Struthio camelus: one gene and its partner. The protein of the gene in region 2 purifies or fractionates together with the protein of the main gene of each other region. This does not show direct contact. Links are inferred from orthologs where the notes say so. Each region holds a gene or a part of one and is shown on either strand. Other genes may lie near its edges. The genes, in order: PPP6R2 and ANKRD28.

Region 1 (7,889 bases), on a different chromosome or scaffold from region 2:
GACATGTCCCACCAAGCCCTGTCCCCGTCCCCGGGGGCTGTGCCCTGTCCTACCATCCCCAGGGCTGTGACATGTCCCACCAAGCCCTGTCCCCATCCCCAGGGCTGTGACCTGCCCTACCATCCCCAGGGCTGTGACATGTCCCACCAAGCCCTGTCCCCGTCCCCGGGGCTGTGCCCTGTCCCACCATCCCCAGGGCTGTGACATGTCCCACCAAGCCCTGTCCCCGTCCCCGGGGGCTGTGCCCTGTCCTACCATCCCCAGGGCTGTGACATGTCCCACCAAGCCCTGTCCCCGTCCCGGGGGCTGTGCCCTGTCCTACCATCCCCAGGGCTGTGACATGTCCCACCAAGCCCTGTCCCCCTCCCCGGGGGCTGTGACCTGTCCCACCATCCCCAGGGCTGTGACATGTCCCACCAAGCCCTGTCCCCGTCCCCGGGGCTGTGCCCTGTCCCACCATCCCCAGGGCTGTGACATGTCCCACCAAGCCCTGTCCCCGTCCTCGGGGGCTGTGCCCTGTCCTACCATCCCCAGGGCTGTGACATGTCCCACCAAGCCCTGTCCCCGTCCCGGGGGCTGTGCCCTGTCCTACCATCCCCAGGGCTGTGACATGTCCCACCAAGCCCTGTCCCCCTCCCCGGGGGCTGTGACCTGTCCCACCATCCCCAGGGCTGTGACATGTCCCACCAAGCCCTGTCCCCGTCCCCGGGGGCTGTGCCCTGTCCCACCATCCCCAGGGCTGTGAGATGTCCCACCAAGCCCTGTCCTACCATCCCCAGGGCTGTGACATGTCCCACCAAGCCCTGTCCCCGTCCCCGGGGGCTGTGCCCTATCCTACCATCCCCAGGGCTGTGACATGTCCCACCAAGCCCTGTCCCCGTCCCCGGGGGCTGTGACCTGTCCCACCATCCCCAGGGCTGTGACATGTCCCACCAAGCCCTGTCCCCGTCCCCGGGGCTGTGACCTGTCCTACCATCCCCAGGGCTGTGACATGTCCCACCAAGCCCTGTCCCCCTCCCCGGGGCTGTGCCCTGTCCCGCCATCCCCAGGGCTGTGACATGTCCCACCAAGCCCTGTCCCCCTCCCCGGGGCTGTGACCTGTCCCGCTATCCCCAGGGCTGTGACATGTCCCACCAAGCCCTGTCCCCGTCCCCGGGGCTGTGCCCTGTCCCACCATCCCCAGGGCTGTGACATTTCCCACCAAGCCCTGTCCCCCTCCCCGGGGGCTGTGCCCTGTCCCACCATCCCCAGGGCTGTGACATGTCCCACCAAGCCCTGTCCCCGTCCCCGGGGGCTGTGACCTGTCCTACCATCCCCAGGGCTGTGACATGTCCCACCAAGCCCTGTCCCCGTCCCGGGGCTGTGACCTGTCCCACCATCCCCAGGGCTGTGACATGTCCCACCAAGCCCTGTCCCCGTCCCCGGGGGCTGTGACCTGTCCCACCATCCCCAGGCTGTGACATGTCCCACCAAGCCCTGTCCCCGTCCCCAGGGGCTGTGACCTGTCCTACCATCCCCAGGGCTGTGACATGTCCCACCAAGCCCTGTCCCCGTCCCCGGGGGCTGTGACCTGTCCCACCATCCCCAGGGCTGTGACATGTCCCACCAAGCCCTGTCCCCGTCCCCGGGGGCTGTGACCTGTCCCACCATCCCCAGGGCTGTGACATGTCCCACCAAGCCCTGTCCTACCATCCCCAGGGCTGTGACATGTCCCACCAAGCCCTGTCCCCATCCCCGGGGGCTGTGACCTGTCCTACCATCCTCAGGGCTGTGACATGTCCCACCAAGCCCTGTCCCCGTCCCCGGGGGCTGTGACCTGTCCCACCATCCCCAGGGCTGTGACATGTCCCACCAAGCCCTGTCCCCGTCCCCGGGGCTGTGCCCTGTCCCACCATCCCCAGGGCTGTGACATGTCCCACCAAGCCCTGTCCCCCTCCCCGGGGCTGTGACCTGTCCCACCATCCCCAGGGCTGTGACATGTCCCACCAAGCCCTGTCCCCCTCCCCGGGGCTGTGACCTGTCCCACCATCCCCAGGGCTGTGACATGTCCCACCAAGCCCTGTCCCTGTCCCCGGGGCTGTGCCCTGTCCCACCATCCCCAGGGCTGTGACATGTCCCACCAAGCCCTGTCCCCGTCCCCGGGGGCTGTGACCTGTCCCACCATCCCCAGGGCTGTGACATGTCCCACCAAGCCCTGTCCCCGTCCCCAGGGGCTGTGACCTGTCCCACCATCCCCAGGGCTGTGACATGTCCCACCAAGCCCTGTCCCCGTCCCGGGGCTGTGCCCTGTCCCACCATCCCCAGGGCTGTGACATGTCCCACCAAGCCCTGTCCCCCTCCCCGGGGGCTGTGACCTGTCCCACCATCCCCAGGGCTGTGACATGTCCCACCAAGCCCTGTCCCCGTCCCCGGGGGCTGTGACCTGTCCCACCATCCCCAGGGCTGTGACATGTCCCACCAAGCCCTGTCCCCGTCCCTGGGGGCTGTGACCTGTCCCACCATCCCCAGGGCTGTGACATGTCCCACCAAGCCCTGTCCCCGTCCCCGGGGCTGTGACCTGTCCCACCATCCCCAGGGCTGTGACATGTCCCACCAAGCCCTGTCCTACCATCCCCAGGGCTGTGACATGTCCCACCAAGCCCTGTCCCCATCCCCGGGGGCTGTGACCTGTCCTACCATCCTCAGGGCTGTGACATGTCCCACCAAGCCCTGTCCCCCTCCCCGGGGGCTGTGACCTGTCCCACCATCCCCAGGGCTGTGACATTTCCCACCAAGCCCTGTCCCCCTCCCCGGGGGCTGTGCCCTGTCCCACCATCCCCAGGGCTGTGACATGTCCCACCAAGCCCTGTCCCCCTCCCCGGGGCTGTGACCTGTCCTACCATCCCCAGGGCTGTGACATGTCCCACCAAGCCCTGTCCCCGTCCCGGGGCTGTGACCTGTCCCACCATCCCCAGGGCTGTGACATGTCCCACCAAGCCCTGTCCCCGTCCCCGGGGGCTGTGACCTGTCCCACCATCCCCAGGCTGTGACATGTCCCACCAAGCCCTGTCCCCGTCCCCAGGGGCTGTGACCTGTCCTACCATCCCCAGGGCTGTGACATGTCCCACCAAGCCCTGTCCCCGTCCCCGGGGGCTGTGACCTGTCCCACCATCCCCAGGGCTGTGACATGTCCCACCAAGCCCTGTCCCCGTCCCCGGGGGCTGTGACCTGTCCCACCATCCCCAGGGTTGTGACATGTCCCACCAAGCCCTGTCCCCGTCCCCGGGGCTGTGACCTGTCCCACCATCCCCAGGGCTGTGACATGTCCCACCAAGCCCTGTCCTACCATCCCCAGGGCTGTGACATGTCCCACCAAGCCCTGTCCCCATCCCCGGGGGCTGTGACCTGTCCTACCATCCTCAGGGCTGTGACATGTCCCACCAAGCCCTGTCCCCGTCCCCGGGGGCTGTGACCTGTCCCACCATCCCCAGGGCTGTGACATGTCCCACCAAGCCCTGTCCCCGTCCCCGGGGGCTGTGACCTGTCCCACCATCCCCAGGGCTGTGACATGTCCCACCAAGCCCTGTCCCCGTCCCCAGGGGCTGTGACCTGTCCTACCATCCCCAGGGCTGTGACATGTCCCACCAAGCCCTGTCCCCGTCCCCGGGGGCTGTGACCTGTCCTACCATCCCCAGGGCTGTGACATGTCCCACCAAGCCCTGTCCCCGTCCCCGGGGCTGTGCCCTGTCCTACCATCCCCAGGGCTGTGACATGTCCCACCAAGCCCTGTCCCCGTCCCCGGGGCTGTGACCTGTCCCTCCATCCCCAGGGCTGTGACATGTCCCACCAAGCCCTGTCCCCGTCCCCGGGGGCTGTGCCCTATCCTACCATCCCCAGGGCTGTGACATGTCCCACCAAGCCCTGTCCCCCTCCCCGGGGCTGTGACCTGTCCCGCCATCCCCAGGACTGTGACATGTCCCACCAAGCCCTGTCCCCGTCCCCGGGGGCTGTGCCCTGTCCCACCATCCCCAGGGCTGTGACATGTCCCACCAAGCCCTGTCCCCCTCCCCGGGGCTGTGACCTGTCCCACCATCCCCAGGGCTGTGACATGTCCCACCAAGCCCTGTCCCCGTCCCCGGGGGCTGTGAGCTGTCTCACCATCCCCAGGGCTGTGACATGTCCCACCAAGCCCTGTCCCCGTCCCCGGGGGCTGTGAGCTGTCTCACCATCCCCAGGGCTGTGACATGTCCCACCAAGCCCTGTCCCCGTCCCCGGGGGCTGTGACCTGTCCCGCCGTCCCCAGGGCTGTGACATGTCCCACCAAGCCCTGTCCCCGTCCCGGGGCTGTGACCTGTCCCACCATCCCCAGGGCTGTGACATGTCCCACCAAGCCCTGTCCTACCATCCCCAGGGCTGTGACATGTCCCACCAAGCCCTGTCCCCCTCCCCGGGGCTGTGACCTGTCCCGCCTTGCCCCGTCCCCGTGGCTGGCTGCTGGCGCCGCCCCCGCCCCGACTCCGCCCCGCCGCCCAGGCCCCGCCCCCGCCCATGTGCCCCCTCGGCCCCGCCCCCCGCCGCGCCCCGCCCTCGGGTAGGCAGGCAGCGCCGCCGCCATTTTGGAGGCAGCCGGAGCGCCCGCCAGCTCGCCGCCGCCTCGCCGCCGCTGTCAGCGCAGCGCAGCCCGGCCGCGGCGCCCCGCGCTCCGCCCGCGGCCCATGCCCTCGGCCCGCCGGCTCTCGCAGCCCAGGCAGCGCACGGCGGCGGCGGCCCCGCCGCCACGGGGACGGCCAGGCCGGACGGCCAGCAGGTGAGACCCGCGGCCGGGCCCGCCGACCGCGCCGCCGCCGAGCTGTCACCGCCGCCGCGGCCCGCGCCGCCGCGGCCCTCCGGGGCCGGAGCCGGGGCGCTCGGCGCGGCCTGCTCCGCTCCACCGGCCGCTTCCTGCTTCCTGCGGCGCGGCGCGGCGCTGGGCCCGGCGCGGAGGCGGTGCGCGGCCTGCCGCCCTGTCAGCGCCGCCGCCGGCCCGGGCCCCGCGGAGCCGCCCGGCCCCGGAGCGCTGCCTGGGCTGGAGGCCGTGTCCGGCTGCGCCTGCTCCGCGTTTTTACTGTATTTATTTGTTTTTGGTCCGGGCGGTGCTGGTCGCCCGGGCCCCTCTTCTTGATTCCGCCTTCGCCGGCCGCTGCGCTGGCCCCTTCCCCGCGCCCTGCCGAAGTTCCCGGGCGTCGCTTGGTGCCGCCTCTGGGGTGAACGGCCCCCGAGGTCGCCCCCCCCCCCCCCCCCCCCCCGGAGCGCGGGGCCCGTCAGGAGTTCGCCGCTGAGCGGGTGCGGTCGGCTGAGGGGGCGCAGCGGCTTCGCCCGTTCCGCGGCCCGCGCGCGGCCGCCGCTTGGCAGCACCCGCGGGGCGGCGGCGGCGCCGCGCACCTGAGCCCAGGGGCCCCGCGGGCTCCGGCCCGGGCGGTCGGTGGAAATAAGGGTCCTGGGCTGGTGGTATTAACGCGCGGAAACTGTGGTAGGAGCTGTAGCCGCAGATCGAATTACTGCGGCACATGATCTTACAGGAAGGCTTTTTCTTGGCCGCTTTAATGGAGGTTTCTTTCCTAATTTGAAGGCCTTGTTTTGTGCTAGCTTTAGAAAAAAACAAAAAACCCCAAAAAACTAGGAAGTGAAAAAGAGAAATTGAGAGAACTTGGAAGGACTTGAGGTATTTTTCCTATCTTGATCTCCTGCTTAAGACTTATTTTTAAGACTGAAGCTTGTTTCCATAGTGTAGTTTATTTTCCCCATCAAAAACATAGAACAGAGTTGTAATTTTTAGACTCAGTCCTGTTATGAGCTACACATGTGTTTGAAGCCAAGCATGTAATCACTAGCTAGCAGACTTTTTTTGATAGAACACTGCTTTAAGAATGACAAGGGAGTAAACATTTATGACTTCTGCTATTACTCTGTCACTTAAAAATATTTTGGCAAACTAGTTACTTTTGGTGGTTTAAAAAAAAAATCCAACAGCTGATAGTATAACAATTTCCATAGCAACTGAGGGTGATAGCATGGTAAGGAAAGTTAAATTTTGGAATATGCAATAGGAACAGATCATGATCTGTACTAGCTTAAGTGGTCCCAGTAAAGACTTGCTCAGGAGAAGGTGAGTGAAGATTGGACATGAAAAAATTGCTTGAAATTGAGAACTTACTTTGTTTTCATGTATTTGACGTGCATATACTTCTGGTGACTTTTATACTTTCTTTGTCTTAAGTTGCAAATTCTGGGACCTAGGACAGTGTCTGATCTAGGAACTGTGGGAATTTGGAGGCACTGCAGAAGCCTTTTGGGAAAAGCTCAGTCTGCAGCAGAATGGTATCAGAGGTGTGGTACAGAAAACAAGTGCTGAGGTTTTGCGAGATTCCTACAGATTTGAAACTTTGAAAAAGTGACTGATGTCGACCGCTTGTTTAGGGGATGGGAGGGAGCACTGAAGCGTCTTCGTTCTTTACCCAATGTTTGATGAATTTATAGTTGTTTGTGGAAGGGACAGGTTGAATTTGTAAGTTCATGGTTGAGAAATGGGAGGATATTGAATCAAAGTGAATAATAAAGAGAAAACTATGATTAAAAATTTACAGTGTTTTTATTCTAACGGTATTCAAGCTTGCTTGTTCTGTGGGCCTAAATTATTTTTAGAAAACTACAGGCTGTTGTCACTAGTGGCATAGGCTGTTAGATGCAGTGCTGCCTTGGGAGGAAAGCTCAAAAACCCTTGCAAGTTGCCTTTTGAAAAGGGGTACCAGGAGAGCTGTTAAGGATAGACAGCCCTTCTGTCTGTGTTTCCCCCTGCCACTTGTGACTCATACTTCATTGGTCATATGGGGAGTCAGCTGGAATGAATTAAATTCTTGCTATCCCCAGTTAGTACAGTCCTGAGCTAGAAGAAGGAATCACTTAGCTGTGTTTCTCTCCTTCCTCCGTAAGGAGACATCCCAGGCTAACTGGCCATATTTTTCCATCCTCCATGGAAGGAGCACTTCCTTCCATATTTTCCCCTGAGTTTTATTGGCCATCAGCTAAAGTGTCAAAAGAGAAACCAAAACTGTTTCCTCCCCTGCCCGCCCCCCCCTCCCCCCCCCAATGCAGTAGGGGATTAGTAGTACCAAACTTCAGTGAAGAAAGGTAATGCATCTGAACAGAGTTGGGCAGGGGAGGAGGTAGGGAAGATGAGCTTTCTTCTTTTCTGTCTCTGCTAATAAGATTTGTAGACCTGTGAGGGTAGAAACTGCTGATTATATGTTAGGGAAAATAGCTTCACACACACACAATCAAGTAGTACGTTTTTTTAACACTGCGGCTTGGAGACTAAAGTGTTAGTGCCTGAAGGGCAGTAACTAGAACAGTGTAATAAGGGCAGCCATAAAAAATGGGTGAACTGGAATGCCAAGAAATAGAAGAGTATCTTGTTATAGTAAACACTTCTGAAACAATAGTAGAATGACAAGAATAACTGGGAAACTTGGATATAAATGGTGCAGGAAAACTAGAGGAGGTCAAGTTGAGAGTAAATCAAGAGCTAAGTAGTTGATGGAATCTTTTGAGAACTTTGAGGTATACTTGTAGGAATTCTTGTTGTTTTGCTAGACCTTAACCCTGCTCTTCTCAATCAGTTTTTCAGTTTTCTTGAATTAATAATCTGTATTAATGAAAGATATCAGCTCTCATCTAAGTGGTTACTCTAGATTTGTGGCTCCATATTTAATGGTCTTCTATCCCTTTTTACAGGGTAACACAATTCTGTTCTTAATTTTGTTTTGTAGATGGGAGAATCAGTTCAACTATGCTTTGCCTCCTTTTCACAGAAAATCTACAGATGTCAGTGGGTTTGTACAGGGATCAGGGAAAGAATATGGCCTCTATGTGAC
Region 2 (8,072 bases):
TAAAGTGATTAGTACAGTAGAAAGCTGTATTAAAATGAAATGAATTTTGTATTCAAAGCCAAAGACATTTGTTCTTACCTGAAAATTAACATCTTCTTTCTTAAATATTAGTGCTCGAACTTCATCAGGATCTCCATTAAATATAGCTTGAACCAAAGGTGGCTGAAAGGAAGAAGAAAAAAAAAAAAGGAACACATCTTAGAGTATAATTCCATTTTACTTTGTGTCGACACATGCATGGTTTTTGGATACATAACACACAAACACCAAACAAGGACAAAAGAGAACATCCCAGGCAGTGAAATGAAAAATGAGAAACAACCGAACTGAAAGATTTCCAAGTTTTAAAAACCTCCAACACACCAACATACTCAGGTCATTGCCCCAACCACAGAAAGGCTGGAACGCTAGCTATAAGGGCTGAAAAGAGAAATCCTTATAATACAATTAAGGCTTAAAATAAAGTGAGCTTGTTAACACGTACTGTGGATTCTATAAAATATATGTAAACAAATCCCTTTTACGTTAGCAAGTGACTAAAGTTATTAGAAATTTTCACCTGTTTGGTTACAGAGTAAGAAAGCAAAGTGCTGATATCAGATAAGTATGGTAACAAATTCACACTCACACACACGTATTACTAAATATAGTAGGATTTCTTAGTAAGTAAGAAAAGCTGCTGAGATACGCTCGCACGATTTTAGTCAGGCACTTGACAAAGTAAAATCATTTAAAGAAATTAAAGGCGCTGCACCCACAGTGTCGACCGTGTCTAGGAAGCAACAACCTGAATCTAAGTTAGGTCTATATGATGACCTCTGCCCTTTTTTCATTTTAGCTTATAACTGCTGTTGCTTCATGTACACAATCTACTGTATCAGTTCTCAAAATAAACACAACAAATGATGGCGATATAACGATTACCTCAGTTTCTAAACTGGTACTGCACAAATACACCATTGAGGAACGGGGAGAGAAGTGAGGGGAGAAACATTTACTTCAGCCACAGTTTTACCAGGCCCTCTAGAAATCGTTTGCTACTATGCAGGAGTTGAGATTTGTTATTGCTGCACCACAAGTAAAGTCACATGCAAAGGAAGGAGCCCCTGCAAATATTAATTCTACAACTAAGCTTCAACTTTTCCCCCACTGTTCAGCGTGGGCAGTTTTTACCCTCTCCCCTCTGGTTTCAACATCAGGCGTATTCATGTCAGCCTTATGACAATTACTAGTGGCACTTGCAACCGCAGCATGAACAGGAAATATGCCAACAGACGACATGCCTTACCAGCGCGTTTCCAGAGGGCGACGGGCGTAAAGATATATTTTCCTGAGGTATTTTGGAAATAAACGTGGGAGAATCATCTTCCACCTCCTCCAAAACAACAATACAGACTCGACTCATTCGATCCGTTTGAGGAAGGAAAAGCAAACGAAAAAATGCCGGCAACTATATTTCTGGAAGCCCACTGTCGGTAGCACAACACGGAGCATACAGGAAATACTTTCACCTCTTTCACGTACCCTCACAAACTTGCAAGTGCTACTGCCGGTGTATTAACATTTAAAAAAGAACACTCCAGTCCGTCCTTGCACTTCATTGTTCAGATTTAAACACCCTGAGACGTTCATGACAATGGTTAAAAAAAAAAAGTTGTTCTTTTTTTTTTTTTTAAATAAAATTTCACTCCGCATCAAGACCGCAACAGTGAAACTGTGGAACAAGCTGATAAAAATATCTCCAGATCCAATTCAATCGGAACAGAATGCACCGCCTCAAATAGCTGTCCTTTCACCAGCAAATTTGTCTTTGCTAATGCCGCCACTTGAGCGGCGCAGCGTTAGGCGCACAGTGCAGCCATTGTTGCGGGCGGCGTGACACCAGCCTGTGCAGCCTGCAGCAGGGAACAATTGCCCTGACGGGGACGGCCGCAGCTAGACCCGAGCCTGCAAGGTCACTGACAAATGAACAGCAGCCGCCTTGCTGGTGACTGAAAATAACACCGGTTCTAGTCACCCTGTAATTCTACAGCTTCAGTTGTCAATGTCAAAAACAGTCCATCTGAAAAACGCATCTGCTTCTCAGCACTTATTCAGAACATGGTCAGAGGATGATAATTCTTTCCCATGCAATAAAAATATCTGCAATGTACAGCACGGCTGCAGCACATTTACATGCGATGAGTCAGACCACAGGGACAATGGAACTCCTTGAATAACATTGCCTGTTTAATCCAGATTCCCCAAATGACAGCCACGAAGACAGCTTTACTCCATCAGTGACACAAGCAACGCAGAGTGTTCGGTTCTCCTTCAGCAGGCAAGAGCTGTGGCTTCTCCATCAGGGACTGCGTTAGGCAGAACGAACGCTTCAGCAAAACAAGCTAGCTACCACGGCACAAAAGCTCAGATTACTGCCTGAGACGACTTCTGCAAAAGCAGTTCATCACTCAAGTGTTTCTTTTGATCACCATGTGAATACAGTTCCCATGATAGTCTTCATTCAGATTGAGGGGGAGAGGAAGGAGGGAAAGAGGAAAAAAAAAAGGAAGGAGGAAAAAAAAAAAAATCAGACTCCGTGCATCTTCTCTGAGCCAACTTCTTTATTCAAACATCTGTCACTGTGCCAACCTGATTCTCCTCTTCAGTTAAAGGTTCCGCTTATCAATTTTTCCTTGACAGATTAAATGATGTGATCAGCAGATAAGTCTTGCAAAGCTTAAGAAGAAGAAGAAAAAAAGCCTGTCTGAATCGGTCATTAGGAGACCGGAGGAGCGGAGCACAAGCCACAGCCACAGCAGCTTTCCAACTGAGCAGGAGCCGACAGCGCACAGACTGCAGGCTCGCAGGATGAAACGCCTAGTAATGCTCACATGTCACACTTACCCGAGAACTGAGCTACCGCGCGCAATGCAACTTCCTCCAGGGAAAAAGAAAAAAAAAGAAACAAAAAAGCGCCCTTTGGGCAGTCTCTGCAGAGGCAATGTTTGTGCCAGTTCCGTGACTAATTCATCTCAAAACGTAAAAATTCTATAACTGAAGAAAGAGCGACTGTTTAATATTTTCCACTAAAAGCCACAAAGAAATCTGGTGTACTGGCTCTGCTGACTAACAACAATTTAGGCGGTAAACAATTCCAGCATTTTAACTGCTTTCATATGGCACTGGCCGGAGCAGCAAAACAATCCTTGCTTAACTCCTTGAAGACAAGAAACTCCCCACAGAAGTCTTCTGAAAATGAAATGAAAGTAAAATCTCTCTTAAAAGTAATCAGTTGACTATTAAAAGCTAGTCATTAATGACCAAACCCATGTTTTGTTGCAACTAGTAGACACCAACAGACCCTCAGCCTGAAAGAAGAATTACATCAAGTATAATTTGAATAAAATAAAGTCCTACAACTTGCTGAATACATATTTCAGCTTGAATCTACTTAAACAGTGCTGGTTTGTGGGTGTATTATGTAAATGAATCCTGTCAGAGTTGCTGGAAATGCTTCAGCGTTACATGAACAGAGGGAGGGCTTCTTGTTCATCCTGCGCAGCGTGGAGGTACTTCTGCTAACGTCCTTTAGCAGCTGATAGGAGCATAATTTGTCAATGGTGAACAAGTTGAAGAATTTTATAACTCTTCCACAAAACACTCTCACTCAAGTTTCACATATTCATCCAGGCAGAGAGAAAGACTTAAAGGGTATATTAAATGGCTTGGATATTAATAGACAAACTGAATTCCCATCTTTGGAGGCCCAGTGAAAGGAAAAGCTCACATCACCTCTATTTTAAAATAATGTCTGCAATAGCTTCACTGCAACATAATACATTCTTTTAAAAAAAAAAAAAAAAACAACTACTGACACTTCCTGCAGATAACACTTTTGCACTTACAAAAACCCTATATTACGTAGCCTAAGACTGCCTGAGCTTAGGGTCGCTGGCCTGGCAGAACGCAGCACAAGCTTCGGTTTCACTGTGAAACTTCTGGTAAGGTTCAGCTTTCCCAAATGCTCCGATTTACAGCATGTGAGTAACACACATCTTCATGAATGTACCTCATTCATCACTATATATATATATAGAGTCCGGTTGTTTTATAATTTCATACTTTTGGTCTTAATTAAGAAAAAGCAATGGTTGGTACCCTACACTGCATTATTCTGGCACTTCAACAATTTATTAAAAAGAAATGATACGTTCATATGAGTACCTCTAAACGTCCTTCCTGGTCGCAATAAAAGTACAATTAATTTAAATAAAAACCAGGACATCCTCCAGGCGCATCTACTGCACCATCCTACTGCGTGCAAAGGAACACAGCAACCACAATCCATAGAGAATTTTTAGTTTTTTTTATTTGTGAAAAACACCCTAAGGAATTGACACTCTTGTTCACTTGCATAACTAAACATTATTATGAAAAAAAATAATCACATCTTAAGTCTATAAGCAAAGTAGACTTACAAAGTGTAAACATGTTTTTCACGCTATCTTTGTATATACACACACACGTACGTTAGTTAGATAATGGTAGTCTAGCGGAGTCCATATGTTAAGTAGAAATGAGCACTTTTTCAGAGCCAGTAAGTTTATACAGCAAGCAAACATTAAGAGTTCCAGACTTTACTTTGAATTAGCATTACATAGCAACAAGTCTAGTTACATAATGCTCAGTTTAGTTTAATTTCACATATCTGAAACTTGTCCATTTTTGATCCTTGCAATTCATGATCGAAATACATTTAAAAATTACAGAACTTCTGAATTTTCACAGTGAAATAAGTGTGAAGAGTTAAGAACATCTGAATCTACTCCAATTATTATTCTAGATATCTTACCTATAAATAAAATACATATAAACTATTTCCATAAGCAAGTTGACATCTTCAATCTTGTATGTTACATTTTTAAATGGTCACATTTCTATAGGCAAAAAGTGTTAAAAGCCAGTATGCCACAGCTTACATTAAAAAGAGAGCTAGCACAATTAAATCAATATTATATTGACCTTGATAGCATTCTGAACCATGTATGTTAGTAGAAGACATTAAAAAAAAAAAAAAATTACTCACACTACAAGTGTGCCATTTAATTACTTTCACACCCAAAGGACAATCTAATTTTAGAAACATTGAACTTTTTAACTTACAATTAACTCGTGCTTGCTATTTTAATACTCTTAAAATATACAATATGGTTTGGGAGTGAACACCTAAATTTACTGACCTACTGCATACTAAACCAGGTTATTTTGCATGCTTAAAAGAACAATCTTCTTCCCTCCCCACCCCCAATTGAAAGTAGTGTCTTCAAGTCAATAAAAATATTGTCATATTGTCTCTAATCATCTCTTTTTTTCAACTTCAAAAAACAGTCCAAGGTCTCCTTTGATTTGCAAAATACAAGCTGTTAATAGCTACTCTGAAAGCCAAAAGCTTACGTTCACAATTTCACTGAAGGAAAGCAAACTAAGGTTTCTGTTTTTCCAGCAGATTATCTGAGAACTAATAACTTTCAGTGAGGGAGAAAAGATAATAGCAGCAGAGAAGGAAGGCAATCTACGTTCAGGAGAATTAACTGAAGTACCCTCTTCCCAAACTAATTTTTTAAATGACAGAGCCTCACAAAGTTATGAAGACAGAATACTGCATCTCTCGAAACATACTTTTCAGTTTATCTTAGTAACATTTAAAACAACTGAAGATCAGCTGGTCATCAGCATCTATCATCTATAAAGCCTTCAAAGGCCTTTCCAGATTAAATTCTACATATCTGATATTAAAAAGCTTCTTAAAGGAGTAGTAGGAAAGATGAGTCAAGAGTGGCCTAACTTTAGTAATGGAATATCATTTCTATTGGGGTGATCTAACTGAGTCCCTGCAATAGTGAACTGTTAACAAAACAAGATCTCCACACTTAACTCTCAAATTCTAAAGAGGACAACAACGAGACACCGAATAAAGAGAATTTTTAAGCAGACAAAAGTGAGAATGTATATTTGTGAAAAACAGCTTGTGTTGACCAAACTGCTTTTTGCAAATAAAAATATCTTGTCTTTAAATAAATCAAATTCCAAGTGACTTTTGTGGGTGACAATAAAGAGAATACATCAGAAGAGTGCAACCTACAGGTTAAAACATGGATGATGGCAGCATGTCCAGTAACAGAGAGAAAGAACAGAAACTTTTTAGGAGCTAAAAATAGTAACATTTTCTAGAGATCTATCCGTTTCGTCAGGAACTGATGAGCAGAGGACGGAAGCAAGACTGCCAGTGACACTGAAAACCTCACTGAGGCACATTCAATATCAATGATCCTACTCGAATGAAGATTTCTCTCTTGCCAATCAGCTTTTACAAAGTCTTTTCTGGGCTGAGATTAATGCAACTAGTTTCATTCAATATTTTGCATAATCAGGGATCTAGGAAAAGAAGCAAATTCTGCTGTTAGGTTCCAGTAAAAATGAAGCATTTAAAACTGAGCAAAGCTTACCAAAAAAAAATTTAACAGTTTCGCAGCCATGCAAGACAAAGACCCAAGCTATGGATCAACCTGTAACACAAAGATCGTTTATAATAGTTAGGTTATGTCCCAGGATAATCAGATTTTTCTGTAAATTTACTGAAGTTTTACCCATATATACACGTCCCATACAGGGACAGTGTTCAGTGTTCAGCATCATCATGAATATAAGCTACAATACTTCCAGAAGCCTTGTGACTCACTCTTGTGAACTCCTCCTGCTCTTTCCTCTCTGGTCCTGAGGGAACGAGGTGGAGTCAGGAAGAGGAATCATGGAATCAGAGAATCACAGAATGGTTGAGGTTGGAAGGGACCTCTGGAGATCATCTAGTCCAACCCCCCTGCTCAAGCAGGGTCCGCTAGAGCACATTGCCCAGAATCACATCCAGGCGGGTTTTGAATATCTCCAGGGAAGGAGACTCCACATGTTTAAGGCAATAATAAATTATACCTTTATCCCAGTTTTGCTCTATTTATTCCAGATCATATGCACAGCTGGGATACAGGAAAGAAAAAAAGTGTGAGAGAGAGATTAGTCTTAACCTTTGCTCTCTCCACTGTATCTTTTGCTTCCAAGGACAAGCAAAATAGCTTCGCTTGACTCTATCCGACCTAGAGAACTCACGGATACCATAAGTCTAAGGTGGGGGGTGGGAGGGGGGGAGAGATGAATTTTAGTTCTTATTCTCTCACGTGTGTACATAGACTGAAACAATCTACAGAACTATATTAATTCAAACAAAACATGTGATTACATGAAACTGTGGTTAATAAAATCCAGTAACTGAATAGGCATCTCAATAAAATCTGAGATACAAATACCACAAAAAAAAAAGAAGGCATTCATTCTAACCTTTCTGTACTGAAGCAGTATTAAAAAAAAGTACCAGTGCAAAATGCATGTTTGTGTTTGAGATATAAACTTCTTTTGTACATTTTTAATCAAACCTTAACATTTTTAAAAACACTTCAGAAATAGCAATCTAGCAAGTTTCTATTTAAGGCTTTTTGCATATATTATACATTGAGCAATATGCATGGAGAGAACTTCTCCAGTGATCTACAGCATTTTACAACCACCATAACACAAAACAAGTCAACAGTTTTTTTAAAAACACCTTTGACATCCAAAATATGGAGTACAGCAACTTGTCCTATGAGGCAAGGGAAGGAGAAAAAAAAAAAGTGGGGATAGAGAACTGAGCACAGCTGTTCCTAAAAAAAAAAAAAATCAGAAAAAAACAAACATAAAAAGTCCTATTTCTTTAAAGAAAACAGAAATTTGAGCAAACAGCATCTCTCCCCATGATTTTCTAGCCAGCATGTCACCCAAAACAGTCTTCCCTTTTCATTAAGGCTAAATTTTATTTCACTGGCTATGGTTTTCTTTTTGTGCTTTTGCAATGCACAATCCTGTAATCAAAATCAACAGTCTATTCTTACACTAACAGCCCGTACAGAGTAAAAGTCCTCCAGTCTCAGTTCAGATTCTCCCGGTGCTTTACAAAAAACGCCTGTGCACTGGGTGCTGGCTCCTATTGATTCGGCTACATC

The links.
Region 1: the proteins of ANKRD28 (region 2) and PPP6R2 purify together in Homo sapiens (co-immunoprecipitation; 4 studies listed by BioGRID and IntAct, counting the BioPlex papers as one, with this or other methods). This does not show direct contact. The link is inferred for Struthio camelus from reciprocal best matches to the Homo sapiens genes ANKRD28 and PPP6R2.

What each region holds. Positions count from the first base shown.
Region 1 is NC_090942.1:1,008,009-1,015,897, reverse strand, and holds the start of PPP6R2 (serine/threonine-protein phosphatase 6 regulatory subunit 2), read left to right. Parts: upstream 1-4,632; 5' UTR 4,633-4,786; intron 4,787-7,889. UniProt on the Homo sapiens protein: Regulatory subunit of protein phosphatase 6 (PP6). May function as a scaffolding PP6 subunit. Involved in the PP6-mediated dephosphorylation of NFKBIE opposing its degradation in response to TNF-alpha.
Region 2 is NC_090943.1:40,772,160-40,780,231, forward strand, and holds the start of ANKRD28 (serine/threonine-protein phosphatase 6 regulatory ankyrin repeat subunit A), read right to left. Parts: upstream 3,095-8,072; 5' UTR 1,406-3,094; coding exon 1,289-1,405; intron 163-1,288; coding exon 79-162; intron 1-78. UniProt on the Homo sapiens protein: Regulatory subunit of protein phosphatase 6 (PP6) that may be involved in the recognition of phosphoprotein substrates. Involved in the PP6-mediated dephosphorylation of NFKBIE opposing its degradation in response to TNF-alpha.